Linked DNA regions of Struthio camelus. The protein of the gene in region 2 purifies or fractionates together with the protein of the main gene of each other region. This does not show direct contact. Links are inferred from orthologs where the notes say so. Each region holds a gene or a part of one and is shown on either strand. Other genes may lie near its edges.

Region 1 (10,089 bases), on a different chromosome or scaffold from region 2:
GCGAACTTTCTTTGTATACGTGGAAAGACTGAGTTCTATAAGCCTATAGCTACAGCCTGTGAGCCCATCTGCTCCAAAGTATATCCTCTGATGAGGGACCTCACCAGAGAGGTGGGAACAAGTTCCTCTGTCGCTCACTGCTTAACTTAAAATCATTAATGCCATTAATAAGACTTTGCACCAATATGGATGAAAAACGCATGCTTTGTTCTTCCATTTCTGATCTTCTGCTGGGCTGATGTTTTGAATCACTACAATTGTTTTCGCAGAGTATGACTCTATGCTGTGGGTGTGCATTGCTGGTGTAATCAAGTCATACATAAACTGTAAATTATACTATTATAGCCCTAGAAGTTCCAGTCATGAAAAATAACTCCATTTTACTTGATGTTTTAGGACAGAGTAAAACAACACTAGCAAAGAGCTCTTAGAATGAATTTGACTTTCGATGTAGGCTCATCCGCTGCGAGAACCATGTATTTATTCTATACAGTTTCTAAAACAACTTTGATTCCAGAATGAGGCCTAAGGATTTTACTGGAATGCAAACATGACTGCTGTATCTATCAAACAACCTATCATATGGTTATAATGTATCATATGGTATGAAATGAAAAACATGTTAAAGTTGTGTACAGAACAGTATTTCGGGTACACTTTTCTTCACCAGAGCAACTTCTGCTTGGCCAGATCCATTCTTTCACCCTTCCCTTAAAAGGGATATACCACGACTACAGGCAAGAGCATTTATCCTACGATTTCCTGCAATGTTTGTGCTTTCTTGTAGCAAAGGTTCTGCACATATCTATAACACAGTTATCTGAAGGTTCTTTACCAGAGCAACTGCTGCTTGGCCAGATCCATTCTGACCAAGAGCCACGCACGCAGTAAAGTAAAACGGACAGCCCACAGCCAAGTTAGCCAACGCACGCCACCACAATACACGCACACATCTGAAGGTGATTAAGACACAGAACCCTCATCCACCTTATATATCACTGCATAAGAGTTTTTAACAAGTGAATCTATAGCTTTAATTCAGGCAAATCTCCTGTACGAAAGGAAATCTTGAAATAAGAACGGAAGGATGTGATCCAAATCAGAAGCGTACTTCCCTCCCTTTATTTTCCCTAACTGAAATCAAGTTAGCTTTGTAAAAAATGCTGAAGTGCCATTAAAAAAGGGAAAGCATTTGACTGTAGGAGGAACGGCTTACAATACTTCATTGTCTAAATAATCGCTGGTTCAACGACTTCTCCATCGGTCTTTAAGGATTTTTTAAAAATCAAGGTTACGATTAGATGTTTAATGCAATATGACATTTTAACTACGGGAATAGCTTTTAAGTTTTACTAATGTTAAACAGTGACACTCAAACACCTGCTAAGGAATTTTAATTTCTCATTGCTGACTGGCCATACAATATACCCAATATCCATAACATTTACAATGATTACATCATCTGACTCAATTTAATTTTTAATTGTTATTTTAAGTAGCGCATTGTATTTGAAATGCTGAACAAGGACTTCTCAGACTTAATACAATACTAAAGTATTCTGCATAATTGCTTACAAACTTTTTGCTAAATAATTTATTGAAAATATTTTCTCCACTAGGAAATGAAGACAGGCATTTAAATCTCTGAACCTAAGAGAACATCTAGGAACGTCTTGGTAAGAGTCAGCCAGCAAAACTTTATTATGTCTCAAACCTGAACTACACTGGATCTAAGTAGTAGGGCATTATCCAGTCCTAAAGAGTTATGAAAATTCGTAAACCTCATTGGTGTGGGTGGGAATTGAAAATAATTGTTGTCATAAACCAGGATACTTGCAAGCACAAGCAGGAATTTTCTAATTCATAACTTCTATCAGCTAATGAGATGCTCTGAAACAGTGAGCAGCGGCCCACTATAAACAACCAGATAAGACTTCACTTATTTGAACGTGGGACTTGGACTTCTTATTAGATGTAAAAGATTGAATTTTACTTTTCATGCCACACTGTAGCTAACAGTAGGATGTGGTCAAATATTCATCCAGATGCCACATCTTATGTGAGTTCTGGTATCACTGCTATTACCAGAAGGCAATGGGTAGCTTGCTTTTAGGAAAAAAGATTTTGCTGCATATCTAATATTGGAATTCTCCATCAATACTATAATTTCTGGTACCCAGTCATGCTTGTTGTACTGACATAATAAATGAAATGCTTATTTCTCACATTATGAATGCAGATATTTAATTAAAAAAGAGAAAATCAGTATCTTGTCAGTCACGAGCAAGACCTAATAACTAAGCAAACTAAAACTAAAGGAGTTTAGGACCGCATTAGTAACCCTCAGAGAGTTACCCTCAGGTTTCACTTCACTAGAGCAGCGTTTGAAGGGACGCATAGATGGCCTCTGTGGTTTTTGACCAAAGGAATCACTGATACTTGTGATTTAATACCAGAGGAAACGAGGCTTTGAGCAACTGTCTTCTCCAAAAAAATGATAATTACATGTTTCATTTCCCTTGGAGGAAGTCTTCAGCCATTAGCTGACCAAAACCACATTTATTCTGTGTTCTCTTACACGATTTCTGAATGGGGTTTTCCAATACTAAGAAGAAATTCACTAATCCTGTTTAAAAAAAAGGCAAGACAAAAACACAGGCCCAACAGAGATTCTCCAGTAAACCACTAGCAGAGTAACTATAAAAAACAAACAAACCCCCCGATGCCCTACCACACCTAAAACACCTGATGCCATACTACAGCAGCAAACAAAGTACCCACAGCATCTTTTTTTGCATGAGCTCCTAAAGAAACTCATGCTCAGGAAGGAGGACACAGGATTTAGACTAAGGGATGTGAAAGGCATTAACGACCCATCTGACTCATTCTGCGCTGCACCCCATTCGTACCGCAAGAGCTATTCTGCGGCCACGGCAGCGGGCGCGGGGATCCCACTCCCCGCTAAGCGAGCGTCACCAGCCCTTACGCGTCCTCGGGCTTTCTGCTTAGCAGCAGCAGCAGGACAGAGCAAAAACACCTGGGGGAGGAAAAAACCAAAAGTCTGCTGAATAACCGAGGCGCAGCTCCACAGGAAGCTGAAGGTTTCTCCTCCGGGAGCTGCACCAGGCGCACGCCGCTGAGCGCGGGCACAAGCGGAAGTAAAATCCGCGCGTCTCAGGCGAGCGGCGCCCGCTCCGGCCGCACCTGCGCGCCCGCGGCCGGCTGAACGCGCTGCGGTCTCGGGGGCGCCTGCCCAGCGCTGACGTGCTTCGCCGCCGCACCGAGAGGCCGCCTCTCCCTCTCCCCGCCCTGCCCTGGCAGCCAGGCCGCCGCGGGCCCCACCTGCACCGTGTAGACCCAGCCGACGTCCATGTGGCTGTGGGCCACCACGAAGGCCCGCAGCGGCCCGCGGCCGGCAGCCCGCGGCACCGGGCCGAAGAGCAGCAGCAGCAGGAGGAGGAGGAGGAGGAGGAGGAGGAGGAGGAGGAGGAGGAGCGGTGGCGGGCGCATGGCGACTCCCAGCCGGGCTCCCCTCAGGCGGCGGCGGCGGCGCCCTTCCGCGTCCCGCCGGCCCCGCCTCCCCCGCGGCCGGGGCGGAGACACCGGGGGGCGGGAAAGGAGCCGAAGCAGCGGGATGGGGGTGAAGGGGGGGGCGAGGCGGCCTCCCGCGAGGCCAGGGGGCCGCGGCCGGTGGAGCCGCCCGCCAGGGGCTGCTGGCGCGCCTCGCTGGGGCTGTTTTTCGTCTAAAACTAGGTTGCGCGGAGGGGGGCTGAGTTCTGCAGCCTTGGACGACTGACAATCCTTACGATTCTTGTTCATAGTGGATTTTTTTTTTTTTAATTTGTGGAAACTCTTCTCAATGGAACACGAGCTTTTTGTGTTGGTAGGTGGTTTGTTCGAGCCAGATTTTTGCCGCTGAGTTTTAAAGTTAAATTTTATTCTGTGCTGTCGACCTTCTCCTGATCCCATTTTGGTTTTACCGCTGTTAGCAAGGGCTGGCCCTGTACTGAGAGTCAAAAAGTGTCCGCAGAAAGCCCTGCTGTAGAGGCAAAACCCCCTTAAGTTCAGAAACGTTACATGGGTAGTTTAGCCCCAACGGTCTCCCCAGAAGTTTGGACTGTGGTTGTACCACCAGTTTGTCCAGTGTATCGTTGTGATGTTGAAGACCAATAATTCTTGTTAAACTTCAGTTCTTCAAAATACACAGCAGCGTAAGTCAACTACCTTGCTTAAATTCTAGTTTGAGTAAATGATATGCATCTAACAAACAATATTATAACTGAAACGTGCTGCGTTACATGCCAAACTGCGTGACTTTTTTTTTTATTTTGGAAGTTTGTCAATGTCTGAAGTCCAGAATGAAAAATGTGATGTAGGACAGTATTACTGAGTGGAATGGCATAAAACTGCCTCTTTTTAAAAAAATAAATCTGAATAAATAAATCTGAACAGATTCTCCTGGAGCGAGGCCCTTGTTTGCTAATTAGCATGGCGGACTATAGAAAGATTTCCTCCAAAAAGAAGAGACTGAAACTGGGACATTAACATTACTTTTATTCGTGATAATGCTGTGTCATGAAGAGCAATCAAGGTCTGTAGGTATGTCTTAGAGGTAGCATCTCTGCAAGCAGCTGGATAAAGCTTTACTTGTAACACAGCTCCATGGACCCCCCCCCCAATCATCAGCTTAAACCTTTTCAGTTCGAAGAAAACCAGCGCACCTCCTGCAAACGTATGGCTCAGGGATGTGTATATATATATATATGTCTATGTATATGTACGCACATTGTCTGAACTGATGTTCTTTCACCTCAGAAGGCGTTATGGTCTTTGTTATTTAGGTGAAGTTCCCAGGAAGCCCTAAGTGTTGGCATTTCGCTGTGTTTCTAAAAGTAGCTGAGAATGTTTGCACAACGTTACTGCCATTTGAAGCCCAATTCCTTCAGAGTATACAGTTGTCCTCCCTCTTTCACAAAGCCTTAACTCTTTACGCTGTCCGGCAGCGGAGACGAGCGCAGGTATTTGAAGAGAATACTTGCATTAGGGAAACGAGAGTCAAATTGCCCACAGTTTATGAAAGTGCATACAACTCTAATGGCATCAGGAGGGTCTTTGCTTGCTGCAAAAAGGGATGAATATAGGCATGTCGGGTGGAATTGGTGCCTAGTGTTACCCCACCCTTACACACCGTTTGGTAAATAGCAAAAAGCTAGGTGAATGATCCAGAATAACTGCGGTGCCGTGACAGCTGCCTGGCTTGGTATTTTATTGTGTTGGCTCTTCATTTTTTAGGTATGGCTCGATTATAGTTGTCCTGTATTATGCTCTTAAAACCTTCTCATTTGCCCGTACAAAGTGTGTTTGCTCTCTTTGATATGAGCTATGCTACGCGGAGGCCTCTGGCACAACCACTGCAGAAAGAGGGAAGATGGAGGCAGGACGCTGCCAGCTGTGAGCTGAGGACGCACAAGGTTTCTGCTGGAGAAAACGCCAACAACACCTGCAAGCGAGCAGAACAACGGAGGTACCTTTACGTTTCCCTCCTGTGGTGTTTGTGGGGTGGACGTGGGTAGGAATAGATACGTTTATAAATTAAGATCACTCTAGCTTACGGTTTCCATGTTTTAAAATTTGCCACCCCCCTAGAAATTTTCCGGTGGAGGCACAGGCCGCTGCATAGAGCGCTTCGGGTCCCTCGATAGCAGGTTTGCTTTCGTAGTTACTCTTCAAGCATGCCGTGAAGACGGCGTGTGGATCCACAGGGCTCCACAGGCCGGGAGACGAACGCGAACACGACCCTTCGGCCTGGCGGCGATGTCAGCGCGTGGAAAACCCGACAACTCGCGCGGTGTTGGCGGCCTTTACCCGCGGGCCGGGCGGCCTGGCCTAGGGACGTCGGGGAACCGCGGGACGCAGAGGAGCGAACGCAGCTGCGGAGGCCGCAGGCCCCGCCGGCGGACTGACGTTGAAACGCCAACGCGCCGGGGCCCAGAGGTGCGGGCCGGGGCCGCTCGCACCTGTTGGGGCCGCGGCGGCGCCGGGCGCGGCGCGTCCTGGGCCAAGGCCGCGGCGGCGCCGCCTCCGCCGGGAGCTCCGGGCGGAGCCTCCCCCCCTTCCCGTGCTCCCTCCCCCGGCCCCCCCGCGCCCCGAGGCAGCGCCGGCTGCCTGCGCCGCCGCTCCGCTGGGAGAAGGAGGAGAAGGAGGTGGCGGCGGCGCCCCGAGCTACCGGCGCTGGGAGCAAAGCAAATCGCAGTTTCAGAGCGCAGGGCGCCTTTCGGCGGGCACCGCACATGTCCCAAAAGCAGGGTACTCGGCGGCGCTCCCCCTTCCCCCAGCCCTCCGCGCTCCCCGCGTCCCTCCGTCCCCTGCTCTGCCCCTTCGCCTCTCCTCCCCGCTCGCTGCTCCGTCCCCCGGCTCTTCCTGCCGCTGCCGGCTCCTTTTCCCCGTCGCTCCCCGTGGCCCCCGCGGCCTGCCCTGCTCGGGCCGGGCCGGGCCGGGCCGCGGGGTGCCGCCGGCCCGGCCGACACTGACGGCGGTTTCCCTCCTGTGCCTAGCTGGCGGCCCCCCGGGCGAGGGCGCGGTGGACTGGTGCCTCTACCAGCTCAACGGAGCGGCCGAGCTGGAGGTGTCGGAAGGTGAGTGCGGGGCGGCGCCAGGCGGCTGGCCGGCTCCGGGCCGGCAGGGCAGGGGGGCGGGCGGCCCCCAGCCGCCGCGGAGGTGCGTGTGCTGGGCCGGGCACCGGGGGGGGGGTCGCGGCTGGTTTCGCAGCTCGGGGCCTGGGTGGCATCAGCCCCCTCGTCCGTGGCATCGGTGGCTGCTGGTGTGAGTGAGGCTCCGCTTGTATCTGCTGTAAAAAAAAAAAAAATAATTTTTTTTGGGTCCTCTCTTAACTTCGAAGAGAGAGGTAACGTGGAAAGTTTTATTTTTCAACGTTCTGCAGTCAGACAAGGACCTACCTTCGGGTGCCGGGGCAAGAAAGTTTCCCCTCCTTCTCCAAACGATGTATAGTTTTGAATATGCACAGGATTTAAACGTGGAGGTCAACTTATGTTTTGCTGCTACGTCCTTTACCTAGTGTGCAGTGAGCCTAGCTCAAGGTCTCCACTGATGTTGTTTTCAGCGAGTTAGGTGCAGCCGACCTCATCCTGATGTTTCAGTCTGCTGGTATTACGTGTTTCTGTGGGGACCGCGTTTGCTCTTTGTAAGGGCTTAAAATGTGTTACAAGTTCAAGCTTGGCGTTAGGAACAACTTTCCATTAGTGAGGGAGGTGAAGCACCCTGATAGATAGGGTTCCAGTTAGACACGAGGAAAAACTTTCCAGCGGTAAAGTACTAGATAGATGGGTTAGACAGACAGAAAATCTCCTTCCCTACAGATTTTTAAGGATGGTTTCACAAACGTGGGTTGGGAATGACGCAGTTGTAGGTGTTGCCTTGGGGCAGGTAGGTAGACTGCTGGATGAAATCTCTTTCAGCTTTATTATTATTTATTTATTATTATGTAGGATGTGAAGTTTTGCGTTTTGTCTTGTGTTTTGCTTTTTGGTAATGCGGGTTAAACCCCGATATATTAATAATACACAAAACCTTGGTCAAGGCTTTGGACTAAGTTTAATTTTTCCCCCAAATATATGCTGTGGAGGTTTAGGTCTCAGGATACGTTTGCAAGTGTGTGTGATTACACACACATGCATGCTAAAGGATTACTCAAAATATGTTGTGATTTAGTGCCCAGATGACTTTTTTTCCCCCGAAACTGCATACCAAGCCAGATGTGATGACGACAGGTGGGGGTGGAAATTACATCCATGTGAGGGAGTGTAATGAGTGAGTGACAGCATTTTTTCAGGCATCATAGAATGTTGAAAACAAGTTTTAGGTTGGCGTTGCCTTTTATTTAAAGATTTGAGTGAGTGGGATATGCTTCTTAACCTTCTTTGTCTGGGTAAATATCAGTGTTTCAACCCTAGTTTGAGACTATAATGTTTTCTTTCCAATAGATGTTGTATTCCTTTGATTTATTGGGTCATCTTTTGTCACATGACAACATTAACCATAGTTTTTTAAAATTAATTTGCTAACCTTGACTTCAGTTTTCTTTAACACTGACAATTTATGGATGTCCAGTTTTATCCCATGCCTTAAATGAAACGCTTGTGTTTTCTATTCTTTACTCAGCCTGGGGATATGTGAATTTAAGAGAACAGGAAACAGTCTGAAGCAGCACAATTTGGTCACACAAGCTATAGAATCAAAACTATCTGCGGGTAGTAAACCCCATTGAACGTCAGTAGGCTTACATTTGAAATGCATTTTGTTCTTCCTCTTTTCCGTTTTCCAGAAAGCATGCTGTCTATTAAATGCCTCTAATATCTAGGAACATGTACAGCAATATAATCTGTGCACTTTGCAGAAGTGAAAATCAACTTTTAAAAGAAAGTGATATGATAGCAGGTGACTTGACCACTTGCATGCCAGACAGTGCCCTAGATAAAGTCCAGACTTCTTCCTTCCCTGAATTTTTCCTTTAAAATAACTTAAATAACACAGACCCAAATAGGAGCTTTAGCTTAAAATTGACTGTTTCTATGACTTTCAGTGGAGAATTTTTCTGTCATTATCCTAGTTCTTTTTATTTTAAAGAAAGGCCACAACCTTTGTGATTGCAGCTGTGTTGGTTAGTACCACTTAACTAATGGAGAGAAGGATTAATTCATCTATATTAAATGCTACTGTGTGTTTGTCTGTGTACATATATATCTATACAGGTAAACGTCTACGCATTTATATTCTAAATTCATGAGCCGTCTAGCTACCTCTTGCTTTTTTTGCTTTTGAATGCATGCAATGGCCTTGTGGTACTTTATCAGTTAGACTCCAGAATTGTGTTCAGCAACGCTTCCATGTTAGACTAGGAAGAAAAATTAGTCTTTTACCAAAAATAGATATGTTAGATGAAAAACATTCATTTACATAACAGAAAAGCAAAATTGCATATTTAAAATGCAAGGAAAATAGAGCATAGTAAGTAAAGCATAACAATCAAAGCCAGATAATCATGTTTGATTGAGTCTTGTTGCCTTGAAACAAAATCCTATTTCAAATATTGCTACTTCTGTAATTCACATCTAAGTGCAAAATATATTTTATTCATGCTAAGGATCTCCAAGCACTTTGCTCATGGTAAGTGCACCCTTAGAAAAGATGCATGAAGAACGATATTAGTGTATCCAGTTATAGGCTAGCAAGACAAAATACAGAAGTTAGGGAGGTGAATGTCTGCTGTTGAGCAATTAGTAATTGAGACTTCTGAAAAGTCAAATCTTGTATCATTTGCCCAAACTGACTGTTGGACTGTTGACAGTCCATTACGTTCCAGACCCTTTGCTCAGGTCGCATTAAATTCTTAAAAACTGTGTGCAAGTTACAGCATATTTGAAACATTCAAAGCTGTGAATTCTAAGCTGTCTGTTCTCATACAGATAGTGTTGCATTCAGTAATGGTAATTTGCTTGATGAGAAGACTGACCTCAAAAATCATCTTGTTAGTTTTCAGTCTTAAAGTTAACTCCTCGGAGACTTGAAATTGGTTTATTTTTCACCCATTTTGTAATTTTATGCTCTGGAATGGCCTGGAAGCTCAGTCAACGTTCGGTGCCTTGTGAATCATGTGCTACGAACTTTCCTGTTATTTGCCATACACTGCTCTAACCTTCTCTTTTCTTTCTGAGTAATTTGAAGACTAGCGATCTAGTCGTGTATTGAGGAGATGAACGGATAATACACCGTTTTTTGTTTTAAAGGTACATTTGGATACTGTACTGTTTGAAAGAACCAGGCGACACGTGGGATTTGATGAATTTGAATTTAACCACAGTCAGGTTTACATGCAATACCTTTTTGTTTACTGTAGCTTTCGCTCAAAGAAAGAAGTCTGGGTTTGATTCAATACTACCCCTTAAAGTGTTGCACCAATTCCATGGAAAGCAGTGGGACTGCGCAACATGTAACTGAAGTAATGTCCTTGTGAGTCATGCCTTGGTTAATCAGGTCTAATTGAATAGGCAGTCTCCATCTGTAGATGCTTTT
Region 2 (9,824 bases):
TGCTTAAAGACGTGAATACAGCAAAAATGTTTTGGAACATCATTCCTTTTTAATTCAAGAATGTTAGGAATAGTACTTCCTTCCCTCTTTTGCTAAAGGCCTAGAGTACTGGAAAGGGAGTTCGCACTACCCTAATCTGACACATCTGAGAACTGAAACTGTCAGGCAGCAGGTTTAAGATGAATGTTAAGCAAAAAAAGTTTTTCTATCCTTCAACTACTCCAGCTTTCAACTTTCATTTAGTTCTGCTGTTATCCATTTAATTCTCTTATCGCTCTTTCTGAAAAGAAGTTTGTCCATGTCAGTGTAAGCTTTAATTAAGGTTTCATCCAGGTTAGAGAAATTCTCATTTGAGTTGTTAACCCAGTGCACCTCAAAAGTAGATTAACAGCATCAACACACACCACTTTGATCTGGAGCGAGTTCAATTTAGAACAGCACAGTGTTTGGCTCTCACAGATTCACAAAAACATTACCTCCCTCAGGGTGCAGTTTCGCATTACACCCAATCTGATCTACCTGCGAGTTGGCTGATAAAAGGGACTGCTCTGCTCATTCTCTGCCTCCGGAGAGGCATTTCCTCCTCTACCCCCTGCAACAGATCTGGAGAGTCTGTAGCAGCAAGCAGTTTTCCCTCTTCTCCTTCTAAAGAGGCATTTTGCTTATTTGCACATTTCATTAGCAAATGATATCCTGAGATCACAGGATTCCTTGGCAACTTGATAAACAAGCATGGCAGAAAAGAGCATGTCATTAACTTAATGGCAACAAACACACAAACAAGCAAAGCAAAGGTCACATTCAACCGTGCAGCCCCCTTTTGAGGCACCTTGTATGGACTGTCGTTGAAGAGGGTCATGGACTGTATTTTCATGTTTCTTTCCGGTTGACTATTTTACTGCTATATTAACACAGTGTTTCACTTACAATTTCAGAGTTTCTTTGCATACACAAAAGAGAAGGTAGTAGAAGGGTATCTTTTGCTTCAGGTCTGGTATCATTTTACTTTCATCCATAATCTTCTTTAACAGTTTCATGGCAACTGTACTCAGTGTTTTCAGTTAATATTACAATTTTCAATTCTAATATGCAGGTTTTTATATGTAAGGTGGATTCTGTACATACTCCATAAATGCTAAGCTTGCAAGGTAATAAGATCCTATCTTTTCAAATTTGACGCTTACTGGCTAATACTGGTATACCAGCATAACTTGCAAAGTCTGTAAAAAAGCCCCAAAACAAATTCATAGCATAACGAGTTTGAACAGGGAGAGTCAGGAGAAACTCAGAGAAGGAAACAGTCCCTTTGAAAGGACTTCTCTGAGCATGTCTCAACAGAAACACAGCACAGATCTTCATGTACTACAGACTCATTGGTGAGATGGCATTAGTTTCAGCAGCTGATAAGCTAAATATTCTTCCATAGCAAGTTTAATAGAGGCAGTCATGTGCAGCATATAAGTAAACACAAGAAAGCAGCAACTTAAGAAATTTAAGCCAAACTTAATATCCAACAGTTTAGAACAAGTCTCAGAATCAAATGTCTTCCATCTAGACATGTTATTAAGCGGGACTCCCGCTCTCTTATGTGCGTAGTCAGCTACCATTAAATTAAGTGAGGTTGTCCCAAACTTGGGGTGCTTATTCAAAGCAGTATTCCGTTAAAATTACTTTCTCTTGACGTTACTAAAAGTGATCTGAACAGGGTTCCTCTTCCTCAAAGATCACGTCAATACTTCGAGCAACTAAGCAATTAACTTCCAAATAAATATTCTTGCATCTCTTACCGCAAAAATTCACAGCAATGTAACTGTACTGAAAAGTGAAGTTTGACACAGAAGTCTCATAGGCAAGTTTACTGTAAAAATAATGCAGAAATAAAAAGGCTCCAGATTAGACACTGTACACAAGGCTTCTCATAAAAGATAAACTCGGTTAACAGAACTCAAACTTGTACTGATGACAATGTACTGGAATTTAAGAATTTCTGAGGGTACAGGTGGAAGAATCGTACCAGAATGAGAGAGCTGTTAAGCTCCTAATTTTCTATATACTCATTATTTTGAACAATACCAAACAAAGACTTCTTAAAATAACAAGGTCAAGACTGAAGTATTCCTCCTCATCATAAAGCCCATATATAAGACAGAACACCACTAAAAAGGACAACCTACTGCTTTCAAGTGGAATACTTAGAAATTTGGCATATAGCATCCAACTTGAGAACAGAACACCTTCAGGTAATCGTCAAAGGTCTTAACTTGCTCTTCAGTAACAAAAGAGAAAGATTTAAAGTGATTAGCAGTTTATTGTGCAACTTGAGAAATATGGCTCTAATTTAATGTTTAGGATGCAAAGCCCATCCACCACAGCACAGCCAGAACAACATCAGCATTGGAGGTTTGTTTTCTTTAACCAAAGCCCAAGCTCATGGCAGTTTTCATTCTTGTGAGGAATGAGTCTGTCATATGAGAAGACTACAGCAACTGCTTAATGTCAGGTTTTTTTCAATTTGTTTACTTTGTATTTTGGACAACACTTTGATTAGCCAATTTCCTTATTTTTGACTGGTATAAGCACCACATAAAGCTCTTCAGTAAAGAGCAAAAAAGATCTTCACAGAGACTGACAAAGAGCTCACCCCTAGTATTTCAGAAGAAAACATGAGAGGAAGCTGATCGTTCAAAGCCATTACTCCCATTAGATGGCAGTTTTTAGAGTGCACCTGACTACATATTACCCAAATAGACTGCAATAATTATAGCTTTAGGTGAAGCATGAAAGGTTAACAGTTTCAAGGCTGGTACTCACTATGTAACATTTGGGGCAAGCAAAAACAGCGAAAAACTAAAATGGTTGGATTTGGTTCATTTGTAGCATGTCTTACTGGGAGGACTCATAGCAAGATATATATATAAAAAATAGTTCCTTCACTAAAACAGACTACTACGGCTCATCTAAAAGTACTAGCCAAGTGAGGAAACTAATGTATGCAGGACAACAAACCAGCCACAAGCCAAGATCTTAGCCTCCCTTATCAGCAGCAAGCAAGTTACCATTATCTGATCAGCGTGCCTCATGAACTATGCCAACAGCTGTTCACCCCCTCACACACAGCCCCCAGCATCCTTACTGTCACAGCCACAAACCAGCAAGTGCACTGCCACAGGGAGGGGGGCTGGAGCCACAGGGACACCCTGCTACAGCTGGGCTCAGAGGCGTTACTGCTGCCCTTGCCAGGAAAACCAAAAATAAGAATAAGCAGGCATGATTCGTCCTTCAAAGCCTGCTCACAGCAAAGCACTTCAAGTAAAATCCCCCTCCTCACACCTTCTCCTAAAGGAGAAGGTTCCTGCGCCAGAAGGGACAAAGCCGTGCAAGGGCGCCTGCCGACCTCCCCCCCAGCTGAGCCACCCAGCTTACGCCTCTGTAAAACCCCAAACCCTGAGCCGAGCCTCACAGCCCCAAAGGCGAACACCCCCTCCCCCAAAGCCCCATGGCCACCCCACACCCCGAGCCGAGCCTCACAGCCCCAAAGGTGAACACCCCCCCCCCCCCGCCCAGAGAAACCCTGAGCCGAGCCCCACAGCGCTAAGGCCCATCCATACCCCGAGCCGAGCCCAACAGACAGCTCGAAGCCCCGAGGAGAGCCCGAGCGAGCTTCCCCCCCCCCCCCTTCCAACGGTCCCAACGGTCGGCGCGCGCGCGAGGCCCGGCGGCGGCCGGGCGGCGCCGGGGCAGGGGGCGGCCGCGGCCCCCGCCGCCTCGCATCTCCCCGCCTCACCTCGCTGCGCGTGATGCGGTGCCGCGCCAGCTTGACCACGGCGAAGTTGCCCTTGCCCAGCGTGCCCTCGATGTCGTAGAAACCGACGCGGACGGGCCCGGGCCCGCGGGGCAGCAGCGGGGGGGGCCGCCGGGGCTCGGCCATTACCATGCTGGGCGCGGGGGGCGGCGGCGGCTCCGACGCGAGCGGCGGCGGCAGCGGCTCGCGTCCGTCTGCGGCGCCCTGGAGCCGCGCCGCCCCGCCCCCTCCGCCCTCCTCCACCAACCGCGCGTCACCGCGCGCGTCAGCGGGGGCGGGGCCTCGCCATGGCAACCGGAGCCACCGCGGCGGGGCGGCCGCCGGGCCTCCCCTCCCCGGCGGCCCCCGCAGCGCGGCAAGGCCGGGCGGAGGGGGAGAGGAAAGGAGAGAAGGCACCGCACCCCCCGCTACCCCGAGCTACCTCCCTCCACCAAGATGTAAGGAGCCGCCTCCTCCACCGTCACAGCCCTGGGGCCAGGGAGAGGGCCCCCCCCCCCCCATGCCCTCAAGCCTAGGCCCCTCGCACCTGTGTGCACAGCAGGGCTGAGTCAGCTACATTAGCACCACCCACAAAAAACCAAGGGGCTCCCCCCGGTGCTCCTCCACCGCAGGAGCCCCCCCCCCCCCCCAGGTGCCACTCCAGCACTGCATCAGCATCTCAGCTCCCAGCCTGCTCCACAGCCTCAAGAACAGCTCTAAGGCCTGGGGGCCATCACCACCAGCCAGGACCAGATCCTCGGCTTCCGGAGGGAAATGCCCTTCCCCTTGCGGAGAACAGCATTTCAAGGCCACCACAGTCGTCCTACATCAGAAGGATGCCCTTAATGTAATCGGCCTGTACATATCAAAATAGCCATCAGCATTTCCCATCACTTAGATGTCAAAGCAGTGAGGCCCCTTCAGCATAAAATGGTTACACAGCTGACAGTGGTAGTGTGTGAAGAGGAAGGCCTCTTACACCTAATTTCCCTTCCACTACTCAGTCCACCTAGTTCACTTCACTGCTTGTAATTCAGTTATGTTGGCTTCTAAAATCGCCATGCTCTTTTCAGCAATCTGCCCTCCTCCCGTTCTCACTTGTCCCTCCTTGCTCCCCTCTGACTGACCCACCTCACCCTGGGAGATCGGCACCACCTGACATCCAGGTAACAGGAATCGCCCTCCGGAGGTTTCCTGCAGTGCTGCTGACTGAGCAAGGCATGTCCCAGAGCTGGTGGCATGAGGGCACACACGTGTCTGTCGAGTCAGCTGCACATTCAGCAGCAGTTACAGGCCCGCTCCGTATTCCAGAGCGCCACGGACGCAAACACTAATGAGACCACCGCTTGGCCACAAAAGGAAAAAGTTCATGAATGCAAGGAACTAAACATCTGTCTCACATCTTCCCTTTACATAGGAGTTTTGTATTTAAAGCTGCCTCATACTTGTGGAAGGTTGTTTAAATTTGTCAGCTGCTATAAAGTAATCATCCTTCTGACTAGGCAACTGAAGACCTGAGTGAATAAAGTTAACACATGCCCTGCACTGCACTTGCAGTTTGAGATTCCTCTACAGGATGACATTTTAAGCTGACACTGCTATGGGTAACAACTGTGCTGTTGCCACTCTATTTATCCCCTTAAGAAGTTCTGGCAATGACTAAGCCATGAGTTGAGTTAGTCAGACATTCACCCTTTTCTAGGATTGACAGGTGTATGAGCAAGCTCACCATAATCTCACTTGGATAGAAAATGGTGTCATCCTCATCCACTACTTATGAGACTTCACTCCTGTTTCACATAGGCCAAACAGTAACTTAAGCATGATGCAAGCGCAGCATGTTAAAAGTAACTTTTTCTTCTTTTAAATCCCTGCATTGTGCAAAATATTGCTCAACACCTGTTCTCAGTTGCTGTTATAAAAGCTGTAGCAATGTAAAATTCTGTTGCTTCCTGCCTGCTTTCACGCATGTAAAGTCCCACCAAATTCTTCCAAAAATCCATTAAGCCAGATACTGTGCTTTCAACAGAAAGCTTCATTTCCAAAAACTTCCTTGTGGAGCACTGTATAACGCCCATTTTGGCCTAGAAGTTTAGGGTAAAAAAAATAAATACTGCCCAACACTGCTAAAGGAACTGCGATCACAAGAACATTCCTTGTGCAGACTTCATGGCCATTGATGGCTTCTACTATGCTTTGAAGAAGGTCATCCAACTGCTTCTCTCAAACGCTGGTGTTTTCTTAGAACGCAGAGGAGTTTTTCAAGGCAAACTTTCAACTAACAGGCAAATGGAATCAAGTGTGGAGCACACATGCCCTCTTGTGGTCAACACCCCTGTACCTAATACTGCAACTGTCATGCTTTATTACACTGAGATATCAGAGAACAATTGATCTGCCTTCTTTTTCCTTCCTGTCCCATGTAACACCTAAGTCCATTATACACAGATAAATGCAGTCACACATGCTTGTCTGCCCAGAAAGATTTAAGTCCAGAAAATTTGGGGGGTAGGGGGGGAGGGAGATAAAAAGGTTTGAGACAAATCTGCAATAAGGATTACACACCTAATGAAACACTATCCTTAAAAGTTAAAATGGCTGACTATACAAAGGAAAGCAAGGAAATAAAACCACCTACCTGTAGAAATACAGCCAGAAAATAGCATTATTTCCTTACTATGCAGTGCTTGTCGAACACCTGGTGGAGGTGGGTCTGCAAGATCAGTTTAGGGGATCTGCCCGAGTTCGCAGGTTGAATCCTGCAAAAACTACAATCTCCCATGAAACAGCCTTAGCAGGATGTGCAAGGGAACTGTTTTCTCTTTAACTTCTATTCTAATTAAATTTGTATTTTCACTACTGAATTCAGCCCTAGAAATCACACTAGGGATAAACCAGCTGAGATAAATCCTAAAGATAACATCATGCTAACGCTTTCCACCTCCTTACTAGGTCATAGCAGAGCATCAGGGGAGAAGCTGCATAGAGTACAATTATGAATTACGTGGCCACAGGGAAAGACACAGTGGGAAGAGGAGCTAAGTTAATGCCAGCAATCCTTTCCACCAACATCCTCCTTAGACGTCATACTGCATTAGAGAAACCAGGCAAACTACTGAAGAGGAAATCAGCTTCTTCATGGTCACCTCCCTTAACTTGAAATAACACCACTGATTGATCCCACAGGCTGCTAACATCTAGGGCACATTAAAATCTAGCACTACCATCAATAGCTGAAGTGCTAGATTCAAGGTTTGCAATCTTACTTTATCCGAGCACCTGCTCATCACTGAGTCACACAGCTTTTGGCAAGTTCTATTACCTCTAAGTCATCTTTGCTTTCTGTAAAACGGGGACAAGGCACAATGCTAAAGGGGGTTAAGGTGCTGACTTCTCTCTAGGGAGAGACCTGGTGGAAGATATCGGATACGAGGCAGTGAAATTGCAGTACGTTAGACTGTAGAACAACCTCCACAAGGACTCAGTGGAAGAGCCACTTCTTGGTGCTTAATGCAAGACCAAGGTGAAGCTGTGGAAAACAGCCATATCAAACAGCTTGCGTTGCCTCTCAAGTTTGGCCTGGAAGACACAGGACATTCCTTACCTTCTAACTGTTTCTGTATCTGCAATGCATACTGGAGCACAGTCCATTCACATCACATTTACTGACCTTCATTTAATTAGCTATGTGCTGAGACAAAAAAAGTCGTATTTTAAAAGAGCAGCACTCAAAGGAATCGGTGAGAAAAGCTGCTGTGCTAAATGGGAAGTACTGCGGCATCCAACAGTTCTCACAAGACTTGTTTTATACTTTAATTTTGGTGTTGATTTTCCTTGCTACCAATACTGGGGTGTACAGGGGATTAAACCACTAACAACAACAAAAGCTGCAGAAAGTGCAATTTATTACAAGCTGCTCCCTAACACATTAAGACAAAGTTGTTCCTGATGGGGAGAAGTAAAAGCCAAAAAAATTTACAGCACCATGTAATGTCCACAGTAACTCAAAGGCAACGTAATTTCCAAGCACTTTCTCAAGAAGTAAATACAAAGTGCATTTCAGAAAGAGACCAATATTGGAGAATCAACTCAATTCCTCAGTTTTTAGGAGGCATTCAGAGCAAAGGCTGAAACTCGGAAATGCAAATCCTAGCGTTTCCTCCAACTTCTGAGCCATCTACTTCCACACGCTGATTGTCCCCTTTTACAAGACTGTGGTCAGGTTGGCCTGCAAGATTTCCCCAGAGAGGCAGCTATGGCACACGGATAGTCTCAAAGAATTTAAATTGCCCTCATTTCAAGAACTTTAATTCTGTTTCTAATCACAATATAGCTGGCTTTGCTATACAGGAAACGGAACCTTTTTTCCCCACAATGAATTTACTTAGAACGGAGATCTTGTGATAGTACATTCAAATACTTCTACCTACCTTCCTAATCTAAGTCAATTAGAGAAGTCTCTTGAGAAAAGTGTGACTGTGATTGGAGACTCGAACATTAACTCTCATTCAAAGAATTTAAATCAAACAGCCTATGAAGTTAAAGTTGTGTGGAAAAAAAAGAAAAAAAAAATCACAGACCAGCATTATCCAGCCTACCACCAAAGCAGCACTATTTTGGGTCACTTACGTATGAAACCTTAGTTCATTAACCACTATTTAAATTTATCCCTATAGCTAACTGACCTGACTTCCAGAAATGCTGAACAATGCAGCTGACTTACTGAGGTCAGGTAAAGTCATCAGTTCCAAGTATCAGGACACTTCTATAGCTACCAGAATTGGGCTTTAAACGTTTGCACGCCTAAGCTCTGCGTGTTGAGCTTTCCGCTCTCATTTCCTGTTTCTCAATGCTTAAGAGATGCCAAGAGAAGAAGAAAAAAGTTAGAAGACATGGATGTTAACTGGGTGCTGCTTTCAAAACAGGCAGAAGACTTTTTGCAGTGTTGCAGTTTCAAGGCCCAATCCTGCTCCACTGACTGCTGGAGGAACACTGCAAGATCAGCAGACACTGTGTCATCCTGCAGGTATGCAGGACAGAGCCACTGTGCACAACCTTGCCTGTAACGTTCAGGAAGGGAGAAGCAGCTGTGGCAACTGAAGTATTTCCATGTTTGCAATGTACAGTAATAGTACAGAGATCCAGAACCGGCTTCCTTCGTATTTATACTGGCAGAGCACACTCATAGCCACGTCCTGCACTCACTTCTGTTGTTTCAGTCCCACATAAAACACCTCCTGCTAAAGCCTTTGGCAGATCTTGGCTTCCTGGTGGCTTATGCAAATTAGTTTGCTTCTTTCTCATATTGATTTCTGTGCAATGAAGAGCAAACTTTGTGTGAACTCTGTCAAGAGCTAAATTAATTTCAGATGTTTCACAGCCAGACCTGTTTGGCAGCAGAACACGGCCCTCCTGGAGCTGGAAACATTCACCTGCAGAGCAATAGGTGAGTAGTTATTAGCATTCCTGCTTGGCTTGCTTAATTCACTCAGTCATCCTCTCTCCATTTCCTGGTCACCGATCAAAGAGGAGGAAAAAAAAAAAAAAAAAACAGAAAACAGATAGATCCAAACCCTGGAGTTCAGAAAATTCTTGTAATTTTTTAAACATTATAAAGCAGGATAAAGTAGATACAATTCTTCATAATTTTAACAAAATATTTTGAAGAATTCTGGCTTCAGTAATCATTTCATAGTATCAAGATTGCCTCAACCTGCTCCTTTCACACAGCTGTGTTATGCCCTTTACGCCTTCAGACAAACCTCACCCAGCAGGAGCCCAGCACATCGCTGCCACATTACCCTTCCTGTCCATCACTGTGTGCACAAGGTAGCCTAAACAAGGAAAATATTCACAAAAGTGTTCCATAAGCAAAAAGAGATCAGTGCAAGTCTTCCCTGCCCACACTAGGGCAGGCTCTTAAAGAGTGGTGTTTAGCTGAGAGAGCACTTAGTTACATGGAAATCTTTAAGATTGCTTAAGACTCCACTAAATAATTCTGAACTGAAGGACACTGAGAAATTTAGTCCTATGCATGCTTGAG
Region 3 (9,325 bases), on a different chromosome or scaffold from region 2:
TCTCAAGCTTTAGGAACAGCTCTTTCTCTTCCATCCTCATTAGCAATAAAAGAAACATTTTATCACATCCATCTACCACACAGTGCTTAGAAAAACCAGGAGAAAAAAAATTATGCTTCACCCATCTAAACCACCAAATATCATCTTTCTAGTAGACAGCCATTCTAGCCTAAATATCTTAAGAATTGTAGGTTGTACGTATTACGTGAAGGTGACAAGGTCAAATCTGACCTCAAATCTACTGACAGCTGGGCACTAGCATTCTTACCACACTAAAAATTGTTGTTGCTATTATTTTTATTAAAAGAATTATCCTCCATTGGCCTGTATTATAGGCAACATTGCAGAGAGATTACTGGTTTTACATTATATTGATTAATGCAATTAAATTATGCCATTTTCTTGGCTGACATATACTAGTTTAGTTTATGCAGAGGTACAAAATAAACCAATAAGCTAGATTTAGAGGAAGAAAAAGTTTACCCGTAAAGCTTAATCAGCGTGGTAAATCTGAAGATAGCTTGAGTTTAACTGAGACTGTTTTTATGCAAAGAAGAATTTCCAATATAAATATTGCAACATTGTATTACTAATAGGAAGACAGAAAATGAAACATGCCTCTCCCTTCTCTTTCAGCCTTGTTTTCTTCACCTTGTTTTTAGTCAAGTTTCAGTATTCCACAGTTTTTTAATTTGAGCTCTCCAACCACTTAAAACCCCCCAATCCACACCCTAGGTACTACCCTACATAAATTGGCATTATCCTCAGTAGTCACAGACATCGGATTAGAGTCCACACTTGTTAGCTTGCAGACCACAGCAGTTAAGAGAATCACGTAAGTTTCAGACAGCAGGATTTTCTTTTGTTTTCACCATGGTGCCTGCCACAAGAAAGAAGACAGAAAGGCAGGGAGAAAAAAGGTCAGACTAGACTTAGAGCCACTGTGAACTTGTCCTTGGGCATTTTGAAGGAGGAGGACCAGAAGCATGCATAACTGCTATTCCAATTTTGTAAAAAGTAAACAAAACCCCACAAAAGGCTTCATTTCCATAAAGAGAACCTTAAAACCAGAAATATAGCTAATAAAAGGAAAAGTATAAAAGTCTCAGCTTGATACATTTATCAACCATTTCAACAGTATTACAGGGAGACATTATAAAGCATAACAGGAATTCTAAGGATCTCATGGAAGCTAAAAGATGCATTTTTACTTAGACAGCTGGTTCTCAACAGTTTCTAGTATGCGTTGTGGGAGCCAAACACACAGGAAAAGGAGAAAATTCCAGCTCAACAAATTCATTACAACCAAGCATAACACCCTTTTAGGGACCTCACACCAGGTTCTAGGTATTTAAATTGCAAAATGTCATGCTTTTGGGGTTGTGCCTTAGCACTCATCCTAAGTTAATCACAGCTGATTATGAAATCAGACTTTTCTTTGTTCCTTGGGTGGCAAAGTCAGAAGTCTACGTCTCCCATATGATGAAAAATGGACATTCTTCCTTTTTTGTAAGCCATCCTGCGACTGGCTTGCTGAAACTGAAACTACTTAATTCACTCACAGTGAAGGCTTCCCTGAACTCCACCCACTATGACTCCACCAATATATAGTGCAGATGCTAAACTGTGTCAGAAAGCATAAGGCTAGCAAGTCTTCTTTCAAATCTACAATACTTCAGAACAGCTAATGGTGTTCAGGACAGACATTTCCCAACTGGATTTTCAGATCCCTATATCACAAACATATATGTAAAAACACCCATCACTATTATGCGCATGTCACATGTCGCATGTCTATTTCAATGAAGAATTATTTGCAAGCACTGGCCACAATTTCCTCAATTTTTGTACTTAAGGACTTAGTTTGATATACAATTAAAATAAAAATGACAATTTAAAATCTGGCAGGGAAAAATATATACTACATTTAATAGTAGTTTTGAGTTCAAGCTTTAAAATATACTTCTTGAACAATTTAAGATTAATCCATCCTTAAAAAAAAGTTACAGCTTGCTTGCTTCCAAAAAAATCCATCTTTCAATTTGTGAATGACAGTCTTTGAAAGTGCATCATTTTCCACATGCTGAAGCTCATAAACAAAAACAAGACGCTTACATTTATATTGAGTTTTCGGCCTTTAGAAGTTAACTGAACCACATGTCAAATGTGAAAATAATGGGAACTCTAGCTACTGCTTTTCCAAATACAACATACATCTCGCTTGTCTGTACAAGCATTCAGGATAGCTATAATCCTCACCCTCTCCAGAATTGCAGGTGACAAAGCCCATTGCTTGCAAAAGAAAAACTTTAACTCATGATCTTAGAGGCTATGTTGTGCAAACAGGTCCTTACGGCCAAAGAAATTTAGAAGTCAGTGGGACTTTCCCAAAGAAAGATCAGAGAAAATTTTTTTCTCTAGCACAGCCATCAGAGCAATATAGAGGGAAAGTACAACTCCTCTAATGATGCTTGAGCCAAGTAAAAAAATAAATAAATAAAAACAAGTAGAATTTTTGCAGTCACAATCAGAGGCAGCCATCTTAGTATAAGATGACATTTGTCACTGCCAGCATTAGGATCCCTAGCTTACAAAACTTTTTCGGCAGTTTCCAGCATCTCCTCCGACACAGAACCTTATTTTTTTTTAAAAAGAGTAAGCATGCAGAAATATTCAGATTTCATCCTCTCCTGGTTAATGGAAGCTAGAAAGATTGGGAAAATTACTTGATCTTTATCTAACACTTAGATCTTCAAAGAGTACAAACATTAATTAATTCTCACAACACCTCCCTGTGGAATGCGAGTATCACATTCCCCATTTTGCAGATTGGGAAAAAAACACAAACCAAAAGCTGAGTGACAGGAAAATTCGATCAATAATTCTGGAAACAAACATTTCCAGCAAAATACTCAGGAAGCTGGAATTCAGCCCTGCTAAAAGTGTGCAAAACAATACTCACAAACCATCAGATTTTGATCCTGGCTTAAGGCATCTGAATGTACATTAACTGTCTGTCTACTTTGCTAAAATTACACACAATAGAACTGAGATATTTTAGCAAGATCGCATTCAAATCTTCCTGCCTAAGGAGTAGTGATAAGGAAGTCAGAAAAAAAATTAGCAGTAATAAAAATTGTTCTTACCTTCTGCTACATCATCATCTACAGCGCCTTTCACCTGAGAAAAACACCACTGAATGTCATTTCCTCCTCCAGCTCCTAAAAGACAATCAAAAAAAAAAAAAATGAGACCCCTGCAGCGACACAGAGAACACACTGCTAGTTACCAATTGAAATGTTCAGGCAACACTGTACACACCTACTTCCTCAGCTGTGCTGTCGGCACAATTACAAATTGCCCCTCCCCACCTTTTTCCTTTACAGATATTGTTTTTGTCATTAGTCACTTGCCAATGGCCAATGCAACATTTGTCAAAAACAGCATAAGCAGTAGGAACGATAAAAGCCTCATGCACCGAAAGCTTGCAAAACTATGCTACACTGCTGGTGCTAACTTAAACTTTGCATTAAAAACACAAGTGCATCAACATCCTATTTCACACGAAGCTTCTTCCTGCTTTAGAGAGGAGAACTCTATAGAGAGAAACACAAACAACTTAAACAGTAACTGCCAGAACAGCTCTACATTTTTCAGAACATTCTAATCTTTTAATATAAGCCAATTGTGTTATTCATTTTCTTCTTTAACAAAAATATTTAACTGGACCTATGTACTAAAGGCTAAAGAAAAAAGTTACCACAATTTCCACAATTTAAAGTCTCTTCACAGAAGAACTGAAAGTAATTATCAGCCTTTAAAAGAGGAGGGGAAAAAAGCAGCAAATTGAGCAGCAAAGCAAACGAGCAATCTCATGTTAACAAGTTCTACTACCATAGAAAACGGATCGAAGAGAAAACTTCAGGAACATTGCTGCCTCTGCGGAAGGCAGCGATTCATTTGAACCCTGCCACCAAAACACACAAAAAAAACCACCACCCATTTCTTTTGCATTGCATTCTGAGCAAATCACTGCTGGGCTGAGTACATACAGGAAGAGACTGAAATGGACTTGCCTTTTTTTTTTTTCCTCTTTGAAACCGCCTGTCAAAATGGAACTTTTTCTCGACACACAATGCAAAGAGGCTGAGCAACAGATGGCATTTACACATTAATCCAGAAGTTTATCATCACTTTTGGGCAACAAAGAACACAAAAGATACTTCTTCCCTCTTCTACGCTAAGCTAAGGGGGAAAAAAGTGTTAAAAGACATGGAAATCAGAAGCCACAAAATAATCTTTCCACAGAAGAGCAAATGCCACAGAAGAGCAAGAGAAGCACTGGAATACAGACTGTGGCTTGCATTTTTCGCTTGCCTTAGTTTTTCTGAAGGATTATAGACAAGCAAACTATATAACCTGACAAGGTGAAGGGAAGTACAAGCATCTAGCTATGCAAGAGATGTCAAAAAGCTTTATGCAGATACGTTGGAAAGGTATACCACACATTTCTCTCTCATTCCCCTGAACTTGTGCAACCTATTCTCCTTCCCCTCCCTACTCTCTTCATTTGTCATTTAGCAGCTGACACCATGGAAGCATTTAAAGGGGACAGCTTACAAGAGAAATCACTGCTCTTTCTACAAAAGATCAAAATTTCATTTTTTATACGATTTACTTGATTTAAATCTGCATTTTTTTTGACTAAAACAAAAAAAGAGGGTGGAGCATAGGCATGGGTGTAGGGGGACAAGGCAAAGCATCAACCTGCCAGAGCCCCCATGCTTGCTCCTCCAAATGCAAAGCACCAAAAAGGCAACTCATTTGCAGAGGAGGGGGATGAATACATTTTCAAGGGAGGAAATTACAACGAAAAGTAAGACGGAAGAGATACCTCATGCATACGCTCTTCTACCCTACCAAGAGCACTCCAGGATGCAAAATAAAGCAGGATGCAAAACGGGGAACAAGCACAGAAAGGAATGAGAAAGAAAACAGAGGAAGACTTGTATTATCCAAGTACATCCTGTGCCCCATTTTGCACTCATTTGCAGATGATTTGAAAGCTGCGCCCTACAGAAGGCTGCAATTGTACTCTCGACACGAGCACGTCTGCACCCTGAAACACCCTTCCGTGCACAGCAGCGCCTCTGCCCAGTCCTCACTAACTCCATGGGAAAGAAATGCAACATACCAGAGCACTTACAGATTCAGAAAAACTATTATATATATATATTTATATATATATGGCAAAAGACCCACCCTGCCTGCAAGCCTGCTGCACGCTGAACTTCAAAATACACCACTCCCCCCATCCCAGCCCCTCCACCTTGCTTCTTCCATGCAAATTTTTTTTTTTCTGCAATAAGGGAGAAAAAGGAAGGAGGGATGGGTGGGAGGAAGGCAGATTTCCCAGGAGAAGGGTGGAGGGGGGAAGGAAAAAAAAAACAAAACCCGGAGCGCGCAGGCGAGGCGGACTGGGAACGCGGGGCGAGGGCAGCGAGCGAGCCGGCCGGCAGCCGGCGGCCGCGGCGGGGGGCGGCAGAGCAGGGCGCCAGGCGCAGCCCGAGCCGCCCAGGAACCGGGCGAGCCGCGGCGGGAGGCGGCGCCGCCGGCAGCCCGGCCGCTGCCGCAGCCTCACCTGCGCCCCCCGCCCGGCGGCGGCGGCGGCGGCGGCAGGGGCCGGTGCCCCGCGGGGGCAGCCTCCCCTTACCTGCCATGTTGGGCTCGTGATAGCGGCCGCGGCGGGTCGGGCGGTCTCGGCGCTACGCGGCGGCGCCGCCGGTGCCGGGCGGGGGGCGGCGGCGGGGGGCGGATGGCGGCGGATGGCGGCGGCGGGGGGTGCGGCCGGCTCCGCTTCCTCGGGCTGCCCCCGCTCCGCGCCTCGCTCCGGCCCCCCCTCCCCCCCCAACGGCTCCACTTTCAAAATGGCGCCGGCCGAGCTGGGGGTGACGTCACCCGGCAGAGAGGGCGGCGCTCCGGAGGGGGCGGGGCGGCGGGTCCCTCGCCGCCCCCCGTAGGGCAGGGCAGGGCGGCGCGGCGCGGCCTCCAGCGGCGGCGGCGGCGGGGGGGAGGCGCTGCCCCGGCAGGCCCCGGTTGCCGTCGCCTACCTGCTCGCCGGGGTGCTTTCCAGGCCGCCCTGCGTTTTACTCTTCCACTGGATCTCCCTCGTAGCGCTCGGCTTCCCCCCCCCCCCCGCATCCACTCCCTTGCTTCCTTCTCGTGACATTTCCTCACCCAGCGGGGCCTCCGCCGCGGCCTCACCACCTCTTCGAGGCGCCTTTCCCGCCCTCTTGGACGCTTTCCATTTTGTCCGCCCGCTCGGTCTCCGGTTTCGCTCGAGAACCCCGGCGCATCTTGGTCGCTCTCATTGCTATTCCCTGCGCGCACCCAGCCGTGCTTCGGAGCCATTTTTAGCCTCCATCCACCTTTCACGCTGACAGCCACCGAGATCTACAAAGGAAGGCTTCCAGCCGAGCCCGCTTGGCACAACTCCTGCTGGCTCCGAAGGGAAGAAGGCGCCTTTTTAGCTCAACGGGTCCCGGTTGAAGTCTCAGCGGCAGTTAACATGCAGGACTCAGCGAATTGATTCAGTGCAATCTATTTAGGATCTTGTGGAAGTCATCAGTTTCCCTTCAGAGGCGTTTGCGCAAACGTTTTCTTTCTTCTCAGGCGGGGTAGGGCTTGCTGATCCAGGTTTCACTTTGAGATTCATGAGCTCATACTGCAAACCCAGCACAGCCACAAACTCGCAACGTGCCTTCAGACAGGTCTTCCTAAGTCATCACGTACAGTGATTTTGCATTTCTAGCTCAAAACACCTAAGAGGCTTTTCTTAAAATGCAAGACCATTCAATTCCTGGTCGAGTACAGCGCAAAACACAGCGCTGTGGGAACTGAACGCCTCTGTATGAACACACCGATACAGTCAGCCTCCCCCTGTCGGAGGGTAAATACCGGAAACCCAGAACTGCCCCAGATTAAAGGCCACTTTGGACAAATGCAGCTTTATCTCTATGTTCCTCAAGGGACTGCATGTGTGAATAAAATAGTTCTTGGAAATGATGATACAGTATTGTTTGAAAAGCACTCAAAACATAATGGGACAGTCTAAAAAAATGGCAACTCCTCTAAATTGGGGAATATCTGAAACCAAGTATTTTGCTTAGTCCATTTTGAGAGCAATCTAGAAATCTAAAAGCAAATACACTGAAAGTTTGAAAATATTCATAATCAAGGTAGGCTGTTTTTTGATCACTACATTGTTAATGGCCTTCCCTTATCAGCCAGGTGCACATTTCCCGAAGCTCAGGACCATACGCACTCAATCCTACAAGTTTTTGGCCAAATTCAGTCAATCTCAAATTCTAAATAAAAGCTGGTAGTCTTCTTGTTTCAGGATACCTTCAGAGCATCCTTCTCAGCCCTAAACAGAAGCGTCCCACAACCTTTTAGCAGGAAAATTTGCAGACAGGGAAATTAATCCACTGCCTTCAGTGCTATTACTCCAGAATTTGGCCCTCCTAGTAGAATTAACATTGTTTCAAGAACTTCTGTTGCCAAAAAAAGCCTACAATTAGTTCTGTAATGCAAATTAATGAAGCTTTAGTATATACCTTATAATTAGAACCAAATCCCTCTTAAAAAAGATTTAATACCATGGAGCCAGAATGAAGGCTCATAATTCCAACATTTCAGGTTTTTGTTTTGAACAAGCTGAGCTATAGAAGTATAATAAATACTTATCATTAAATCACAGCCATGGTAATTAGTGAAACATCTTGGGAGTCCCGATCTTTGCCTGGGTGTTCACTTGCTTGTTAATTCAGACAATGCAAGTATTCACACTAGTACTAATGGTTAGTGCAAATTAGCAAGAGTGTATTTTGCAGCTCTGATTTTAAAAAGTTTGTAAGCACATACTTATCTCCCTTTGATTTAACCATATTTTAAGCATTTGTTCAGGTGCTCTGGGGAGATAGTAACTGTAGTATGTTAAATTTATATACAACCACCAAAGCACAAAGCTTTACTAAACATTTATCTATCCCAATTATGTTTTTATCACTAATTCTTGCTCTATAGACGCTTCAACTTAGACTAAGGAGAATCTCCAGGAGATTAAAATAACAGAAAAGCATTTCCGATGGATTTGTTAAAAGGCTAGTGAGTGATCCATTCACAGCAGCGCAAAACAGGAGCTGTAGAAGTCAGAACAACCTAAAGCAAAATGTGAAATGCAACTGGTAGCCAATAAAAATATATTCGTGTTGAATCACTGATCAAACGATTAAGGCCCAAGAAAGAACTCTATCAGCAACTCATTTTGTATCTGCCTTAGTTTCCTAGTAATTTGACCTGTTAGACAAGATTATAATGAATTACAACAATTCAGTTTAGAAATAAAGGGAGTAATTATCACCAAAATTATCACTAGAAATTAGTAATAGCTGAGCTGTCTTAGGCCACATGAAGGTTAACATCAGTGCAATGTAATTCCCTACAGCATACTCTTCTGCACTTCATACTCTCTAGCTTGAAGTGTCTCAGAGATTTCCATTGCTTTTCGGGAAAGAACATTTCACAGCCTAGCAGGCTTTACACTTAGAAAAGGTTTGCTAGTATTTGGTCTGTGTTTCCCTGTTCTTAATTTCACATAATTATCTCTATGTATGCAGCCACTTAATTAAGAACCATTATCAAAACAGTGCTGAATCATGTCTTAATACTGGCAGATGGAAGCTCATGCTTAACAAAAGGTCAGACAGACCCTGAACCTGTAATGAATTTTAGACAGGCAGACTCACAGGGTGAACTGCATTTGGTGCAAGTCCCAACCCATCTAACCTCTGTGAGTTACGCCAGTGCCGACCTCCCTTGAGCAGGTAGGAGCTTTATGTTATTTGCAGTGAGCCAACTAGCATACCGTGAAGTCTTCTGCGGACATATGGAGCTTTCATTTGCTTTTTCTGTCAGTCAAGCTTCCTTTGACCCGAGTTCACTTTGAGCAGATGCCACTTGTATCGTCCCAAAAATCTCCCTTTCCAGGGACCAGAGAAATTCAGCCATAACTGAGGTATAAACAAAGGTTTAAGCATTTCCAGTCCTGCCTCACCCTCCTAAACCTGAGTACTACAACAGCATGTTTTGAAAGTGCCCTAGTGAGCAGGGGCCACTGAAGTCACTGACTTATATTTGGAAAGGGCAAACTGAAATTTAAGTTTCTAGTAGTCCTGAGTATCTAAACTATTGAGTAAGTGCTCAGAAGAGGGCTAAAATTTAATCTTCTCCTGAATAGTCACTGAGCAGTTTAGTATAAATATTA

The links.
Region 1: the proteins of SIK2 (region 2) and PPP2R2C purify together in Homo sapiens (affinity purification with mass spectrometry; 3 studies listed by BioGRID and IntAct, counting the BioPlex papers as one, with this or other methods). This does not show direct contact. The link is inferred for Struthio camelus from reciprocal best matches to the Homo sapiens genes SIK2 and PPP2R2C.
Region 3: the proteins of SIK2 (region 2) and PPP2R2A purify together in Homo sapiens (affinity purification with mass spectrometry; 3 studies listed by BioGRID and IntAct, with this or other methods). This does not show direct contact. The link is inferred for Struthio camelus from reciprocal best matches to the Homo sapiens genes SIK2 and PPP2R2A.

Annotation. Positions count from the first base shown.
Region 1 is NC_090945.1:74,039,789-74,049,877, reverse strand, and holds the start of PPP2R2C (protein phosphatase 2, regulatory subunit B, gamma), read left to right. Parts: upstream 1-6,143; 5' UTR 6,144-6,290; coding exon 6,291-6,306; intron 6,307-6,554; coding exon 6,555-6,635; intron 6,636-10,089. Other genes in the region: MAN2B2 (epididymis-specific alpha-mannosidase), read right to left, coding at 3,343-3,510. UniProt on the Homo sapiens protein: The B regulatory subunit might modulate substrate selectivity and catalytic activity, and might also direct the localization of the catalytic enzyme to a particular subcellular compartment.
Region 2 is NC_090963.1:2,871,688-2,881,511, forward strand, and holds the start of SIK2 (serine/threonine-protein kinase SIK2), read right to left. Parts: upstream 4,025-9,824; 5' UTR 3,935-4,024; coding exon 3,785-3,934; intron 1,854-3,784; exon of another isoform or gene 1,788-1,853; intron 1-1,787. UniProt on the Homo sapiens protein: Serine/threonine-protein kinase that plays a role in many biological processes such as fatty acid oxidation, autophagy, immune response or glucose metabolism.
Region 3 is NC_090968.1:4,340,697-4,350,021, forward strand, and holds the start of PPP2R2A (serine/threonine-protein phosphatase 2A 55 kDa regulatory subunit B alpha isoform), read right to left. Parts: upstream 3,947-9,325; 5' UTR 3,932-3,946; coding exon 3,895-3,931; intron 3,222-3,894; coding exon 3,147-3,221; intron 881-3,146; exon of another isoform or gene 782-880; coding exon of another isoform or gene 743-781; intron 1-742. UniProt on the Homo sapiens protein: Substrate-recognition subunit of protein phosphatase 2A (PP2A) that plays a key role in cell cycle by controlling mitosis entry and exit. Involved in chromosome clustering during late mitosis by mediating dephosphorylation of MKI67.